2 linked regions of the Schizosaccharomyces pombe genome follow. The gene in region 2 interacts genetically with the main gene of each other region. Each region holds a gene or a part of one and is shown on either strand. Other genes may lie near its edges.

Region 1 (3,758 bases), 2.6 Mb from region 2:
ATTCGTGGCCAGTACTTAAGAATGCCAGTCAAGACTGCCTTCGTTAAAGAAGGATCTTTATCGATAAACTGAACAATGCAATACGTAAGTTGGGGATGGTATAAAAAAACAGATTTAGTTTGATGTAAAGGAATAAGCACTTTGGACAAAAATATTTTATGTTCTTCTTTTAAAGGTACAGCAAATCCATTAATAATACTAATAAGTTAGTTTGTAAATCAATTTAGGAACTATAACCATTAATGAAACATACCTTCCAAGTATCTCCAGTAGTTCAGCGATTCCATGAAATTTTTCTCGTTCATAAATGAATTGCAAAAAAACATTATTCATAGACTTTCTAATGTATGACCTAAGGTTCAGAAATTTTCCGTAAATCCTATGTAATGTTGTTTTCAGAAGTTCGCGCTCACGCGGGTCTTCTGTGTCAAATAGTGCTAGCAAGCGATTAAAAAACCTACGATCAACGAGCGATTTTGCTTTACTGGCTCTAAAGTCAGGAGATTCTAGGAACTTAATAAATAATAAATACACCTCTTCCAAGTGAGGCCACGCTGGCTCCAAAAAAGGCTCATCGTCTAAAGCAAACATATCTGATGAATAATCATTAAGAGCAGGTGATATAGGCCGAAATACATTGAGGGAAAACTATAGTGATTAGATTTTTACAGTAATAAAAAGCAGAGGAGTAAACATACTGTATTGACAACATAAGGAAAAAGCGATGCGGAAGAAATACCGCGGTTTTCAGACACATAATCTATCATTTGTAATAAGGCTTCTCTTTTTATTTCTTTGCTAGCCAAATCGGAAGATGGATCATTAAAATCGAAAATAATATTGCATTGTTCAAGCTTCTTTATAAACAGTTCTTCACGTTCAGAGGTATGAACATCTAATTATATTAGCACAAGAATAAAAAAAAGTACATTATTAAAATAAGATATAAGAATCTTACTAAACGTACCATCAAATGAAGGCAACCGAACTAATGTTCTTTTCTCAGATACTTGAAATTGAGAGGAGTGTTCGCGTCGAGGTACTGGTCTAAGACTATGCGGAATGTCAACATTCTCAGCACCTGCTAAAAATTTATTTAAGGGAGTTGGCTGTGAAACTAAATAAGGAGGAGTGGATTGTGGGACAGATAAAAATGAGGCAGAAGATATGGAATCATTAGGAAATTCGTCTATGTTAGACGATACAGAATCCTACAAGTAAGTTAGTATGAAAATAATCATTTTGGTAGAAAATATTAAACTAACCGACGTATACTTACATTTTTTGGTTCTGGATAATTAGGTGGGAAATGGTTGGCGTCTTTAACTTTAGAAGTTTCAATTACGGGCAAAAACGTAGAGTAATCAGAATCCTCATGTCCAGATGCTAGAACCGTCGTATGTATTTTTTTATCAGAATTTTCATGTTTTTCATTATTTGAGTTGGCATGATGATTTCGTTTGTGCTTTAAAGTATCTTTTAGGAAATGACTCTTAAGTTTTTTAAGCTCGTGTTTTGAAGAATGGTGAGTGTCTGTGTGCTTCACGTCGTCAGTTTCCACGTAAGACCCATTTTTAGAGATATAGTGGCTTTTTGAATGACCATTTTTATGTGACCCTTGTTCATCCTTCAACGAAAGTGCTTTTACAAATTTACTCCTTAATCCTTTCATTAAAAGGCAAATGAGATGATTTCCTTGCTCAATTGCAAGTTATAAAGATAGCGAATAACCAAATTTAAAAAACGAATGATTCCTAGGATTGGGACCGAATGTAATTTCGAAACTTAAATGAATGCACCTATTACTGAATATGTAAACGTTGTCTTTCTTCAAAAGAACGTCTGTTAATAAATTTGTACACAATGATGAGTTAGAAAAGGGTAAATTTATGTGGTGGGTAAATAAATGATTTGTTCCTTTCAAGTACTCCGTAAATATGTCTCGGCAAGTCAAAGAGTTAACGGCAACAACCTCGGTAACAGAATTCTGAGCCCCTTTATAAGATGGGTATATAAGCTAAACACCCTAGGGAATAGTTAAGAGGGTTAACCTTGAAACTTCCTGTAATGACAACTTTACTATGAGTTATGTTTGGCAAATGAAGCAAAACGGGGCGAGTGGCTCGAATGTTATGGGACGCTACCGAAGGCTGGTAGTATGAAATAACGTACTTGGGAAATTGGCTGGTACTGTGAATTAACGGATCGGCAAAAATCTTGTGTTATGATGTTACTGTATTGTTGTACGATGTCCGAGGTTTGGAACAACATTATTTTAGCTGCCAAAAAATTAAAATGCTTTTGAAGCAATGATATTGATGTGTATCAATTAATTTTTCATTTGAGGAATAAGTTATCCAGATTATTAATTAAATTACTTTAAAAGCAAATATATATAAAGTCTTTGCCCTACTTTTTCCAGTGTTTTATAGCATACCATATTAGGCATATATCTTATGAATAGTCTAAAAATTTCTGACAATGAATATGCACTCATTGAGCATCCGGGCTTTGCTAATAACAAGGATGCATTTTTTCAGACATTAGGCGGTGTTCAATCAATTCAAAAGGTAAATTGCTAAAAAAGTATAGGAATGACCGGCTTACATCTTTAAGCTTCCCCTTTTATAAAACATGAATTTGATAATCTTTTTTGACCTAATACTAACAATTTCTAGGCATGTCAAACTTCATTTCAAAACCCAAAACAAGCTCTGTTGGAGTTGAATCTAAGGCCTAAAGATAAATACCATCATCCAGTACAAGCTCGAGTGCAATCCAGAAATGACCTATTAGTAACGATTAAAAAAATGGACAACTCTGTGCAAAATGTCAGTAGAATTCGTCAAGTTTTCTTATTCAGAGATATGGCTGATTTCCAGTATAGTACTCAAAATTCACCATTCGTTCAAAAATTAGATTCCACTCTGCGAGTGCTTGACTATAACGCCATTAATAAGTTTTCCATCGATCTAACTCCGGTACAAAGAAAACATGTCGACATGCCTCCTCCTCCTGTTTTCTCTCAGACAAGTCTACCCATGTCTTATAACTTCTTGCAAAATCCACTAGTAGGTCGAGTTCGGCTACCTAATGGGAAAACTACAATAGTCAATCTAAAAGGTCAATGCAGAGTTTGGATTATCACTACAAATATGGGGGTTGAAAGTGTACCTACATGTAGACACTCAAAATTAGGTGAGCCTTCGAAGACAATTCAGGAAGTTATAGAAGCTTTAAAACCTCTTTTTGAAAAACGACCCGTTTGGACGAGAAGAGCCTTATTAAATCATCTAGACCCGTCATATACTCACTATTTGAAATTTGCTCTTCCTTACCTTTCTTATTTATGGACTTCAGGTCCATTTAGAGATACATATACGCGGTTTGGATACGATCCTAGAAAAGATTCTAATGCAGCTGCTTACCAAGCTTTGTTCTTTAAACTCAAGCTAAATGGAAAACATAAAGGGACTAAAACTCACGTGTTTGATGGCAAGACTTTGTTTCCCACTAATCGTGTTTATCAAGTGTGCGATATCGTAGATCCCACAATTGCACCACTACTGAAAGATACTCAGTTACGTTCTGAATGTCATCGGGACACAGGATGGTATAGAAGCGGTCGTTACTATAAGGTTAGAGATCTTATGCGTGAAAAACTCTTTGCGCTGATCGAAGGAGAAATGCCTTCTGAAGTCGCGGTGAATATGATTTTAAACGCCGAAGAGGTAGAGGAATCTGACAGATATTCGAAT
Region 2 (3,758 bases):
ATTACCAAGACGGGGTGTATTAGTACCAGTTCTTATATTTCCGAGATCGTTTCTTTCTTGAATGTTGTATTCATTATTAGATGCATCACTCGATTCGTCCTCCTCATCATCCTCCGTGTCCTCGAGCAACAATGGAAGTGCTGTATTTGCGGCAAGAGAAATGATAGCAAAAAGCAGTAATGCGAACGACCCTTGACGAGTCGCCATGTCCCAATCTTCTTCATGGCCTTTAGGAGCATGGCGTAAATATAAAATACCCACATAGGTAGTAATATAAAACAAAAATGGAAACCATCCAAAGTATGCAAAAAATTGAACAAAACAAATTCTTTTTAATGTAAATGGAAGTGCGGTAATACTTTGTCGCATAGTTGTAAAAAATTCAAAGATTTCTCCAGCAACCGATTTCTCGTGTTCAACTGGTGGGAATCTCCTTTCACTCACAAATATTGTTGTGATGGTAACTGTGAGTACCAAGGAAATGGAGGCAAGTACGCAAAACACCTGTAACTGTGTGAAATTGAGAAAGGAGAAGATGCGATATAGAGGTAAATAGCCTAGTAAGTACCCAAGCACATTGCCTACACCTATCATTCTTCCAGCCCAGGAATTTGCTTCATGCTGTTGATCTGAACGGACTGAATCAACAATTAAAGATCGAGTGCTAGCCATTACTAGTTATAAAGTTAGTCATTTGTATGAACTACTACTCTGAAAACTAAATCCCTAAATTCACATACCGACATTGACGGCCACGTCAAGCAAATAAATGCTAATCGTAGCCAAAACGATAGTAACACGTTTCATTAGAACCTCATTGCTAAATATAAAGAGGCAAATATCAGGGGCCCAGCCCATAAGGAATAAGCTGAATGTTCCTAACAAACTAGCACAGAGCATGAACGGTCTCCGCCGACCTATTCTTGAATTAACCCGGTCGGACAATATACCAGCAATTGGCTGAATTAATATTCCAGTCAAAGGACCGGCAATCCATATAATTGAAGTCCATTCTTTACGAAGACCAAGTGAGAATAAATACGGTGTACCATAACCAAGTTCAACCGACCAAGTCAATTGAACTCCCAAAAGTGAAACTGTAAGAGCTATTAAGTAGAGGGAAGAGCGAGAAGGGATAGACTCTTTAAAAGGTGATGATGCCTCATTTTCGGAGGATAGAAGTTGTCCATTCTCCAATTGATTTTCATCTACAGACATATTTTAATGAAACTAAGCTTTAAAAGCAAAAGAGAAATGAGAGGAACGTTTGGTGGAACTTCTTTGGTAAGAGATATCTGTTCCTACAACAAAGTTCAGGGGGATTCAATTATGATTGAGAGAAATGATTTTTTAATTTTTCAAAATAATTGATCGCTGTCTAACTTGCAATGAATGTATCTGATCCTTGATAGCATACAACAGGCCACAATGTTTTAAATGTTAGTCAGAGAGAATAATTCAAATGATAGAAGTATAATCGAATATGTGATAAAAATCCTTCTAATTTCGGGGATTTCAAGAATTATTATATTGATTTTAGCAATGTTTGAAAGTATTAGACATATAATTTTTCACAACGATACCAATCCCAGTGATGCTCGAAAGTTTCAAATGGCAATTTGTAGATTAAGTTCGCAGAAAAGCAGAAAACTAAAGAATCCGATTGAAAGTTCAACGACGAGTCACAAAAAGAAAGGATACGTAAGAAAATGTTATGAATGTCTGCAGATACAGGTTAGTTGAACAAAAGCGATTAAAATGAACATAGAACAAAGCATCGTGTACTTACTTTGAAATCGTCAATAAGCAAAAAGCTTCAATTTAAAGCAATAAGCAAGGAATAAGAAATAATAATAAATAATTAAATAATTCCTTACTAATAAAGTACCTTTTAAAAGTATGAATTCTTATGAATCCTTTCAAATTACTACACCTTTTAATATGCTTGGTTTAGAGGAGCGACTCCATCAGCCCAGCTCCGCGTAAATGTCATGTTGACGTTACACTGTGATTCTGCACTATAGGACATTACACCGCGGCACACTGCATTCCTGTATAAGTCAAATGCTTTTTATCTTTTTGAAATATCGTATAAATAGATGCCGTTAAGTCCTAATGATGATTAGTATATTTGAATCTTAATTTAATCATTAAAACTATATAGAATATTATCAAATTTAAACTGCACTCATCAATTTACTAGTAGCTATCGCACTTCCAATATTATTATAAGAATATGTATACATATCAATAAACATCTCCAGGGGCGCATTCTGAATACAGCAATATTCCGGTAAAATGGAGAACTTTTACGGTATTTTATTGCATCCTTGAAAACTAAAGAGCAGTTCGTAGCGAAACGATATATATTTAGCGAAACACAATGTTGCAATCAGTATACTCGTAAGCTATATTAACGTGATTAAGTATATACATAAATATTGTAAAAAAATAAGGAGAACGCAGCCATTCCTTATAACGATGAATAATTCTTCTTATGGTTAATGTACAGAGTTAGACATATTTATGATTGACCTAGATAATTGTCTATGCTACTCAATAGCTTTCTTTGCACGTGTTTATTGGGCCTGAACATAAATTGGAGAAGTTAAAATATTGCCACGTTCGAGCAATAGTAATTTAAACTCAATGGTGTTATCCGCGCATGGCTTGTCGCTCAAATACTTCTCTTGAATAACATGGAGCTTAAATATAATTCTTTTTTAGTATTCAAAACAATATCAATCCGCCCCTAAATTCCTAAATAACATTGCATGGTTTTCCATAGACAGTGCTATTCTCTTCGTCAGCAGGTAACATGCAACCCAATGGACTTTTCGTAAATTTTTTGAAGAAAAATCAACAAATTTAAAGTGATATAGGGGAGCTACGTGCTAAAATTCTTTTTTTTTTATTCTGTAAATTAATTTATTTAATACATGAGATCATTATACTGTGCTGTGAGTGTTGAGATGCGTCTACGGGAAATTTGCAATATGAACTTTTTACTTGGTAGAAAAATCCTGTCAATACATGTTTAAATGTGAAAACAAATACTGGAATCCATTTATTTTTTAACGAATCATAGCATACCACTCTGGTAAATGTAAATCTTGGAATTGCTTGGAATGGTACTACCTGCCTTCCCCACACTCATCAGAGAACTACTACCAACAACTTCTTACAGTAAGTACAGAGTAAGATGGGGGACAATCCTTGGGTTCTCCAGGAACAAGTCCTCGTAGAACTTTCAGAAGTGATAAAGAATTCACTCTCCGAAAACTCTCAGACTAGGAATGCTGCTTTAAATGTAAGATTTTTTTTTTCTAAAATTAAAAGTTTCTTTCTCGTTGTAGAAGATGCTTCTTTTTACTTCACGTGTGTAACGACGTGTGAAGAAGAAATCAAATGGCATAACTAACTTTATTATAGTTGCTTGAGAAAGCAAAGGATATACCAGATCTAAATAATTACCTTACTTGCATTCTCATCAACGCTACGGAGCTTAGTGTTTCAATTAGATCTGCTGCTGGTCTTTTGTTGAAGAACAATGTTCGTGTTTCAAGCTTAGAGTCTGGTTCAGGTTTGCAGAGCCTCGATTACACAAAGTCAACAGTTATTCGCGGTTTGTGTGACCCTGAACAACTCATTCGAGGCATATCTGGTAATGTGATCACTACAATCATTAGTCGTTGGGGAATTAGTACTTGGCCTGAAGTATTGCCACAATTAATGGAAATGCTTTCTAGCCCTGCTTC

The links.
Region 1: mutations in sut1 (region 2) and par2 together harm fitness more than expected from each alone (negative genetic interaction), as found in Schizosaccharomyces pombe (one large-scale study listed by BioGRID).

What each region holds. Positions count from the first base shown.
Region 1 is NC_003424.3:1,333,842-1,337,599, reverse strand, and holds the start of par2 (serine/threonine protein phosphatase PP2A regulatory subunit B-56 Par2), read right to left. Parts: upstream 2,098-3,758; 5' UTR 1,673-2,097; coding exon 1,280-1,672; intron 1,212-1,279; coding exon 968-1,211; intron 896-967; coding exon 699-895; intron 649-698; coding exon 254-648; intron 199-253; coding exon 1-198. Other genes in the region: transcription factor TFIIIC subunit Sfc1, read left to right, coding at 2,457-2,570, 2,679-3,758. UniProt on the Schizosaccharomyces pombe protein: The B regulatory subunit might modulate substrate selectivity and catalytic activity, and might also direct the localization of the catalytic enzyme to a particular subcellular compartment. Has a role in cell shape control and septum formation.
Region 2 is NC_003424.3:3,933,513-3,937,270, reverse strand, and holds the start of sut1 (plasma membrane sucrose/maltose:proton symporter Sut1), read right to left. Parts: upstream 1,911-3,758; 5' UTR 1,790-1,910; intron 1,744-1,789; coding exon of another isoform or gene 1,438-1,743; 5' UTR 1,219-1,437; coding exon 741-1,218; exon of another isoform or gene 675-740; coding exon 1-674. Other genes in the region: SPOM_SPAC2F3.07C (uncharacterized protein), read left to right, coding at 1,438-1,743; karyopherin/importin beta family nuclear import signal receptor Kap104, read left to right, coding at 3,203-3,310, 3,433-3,758.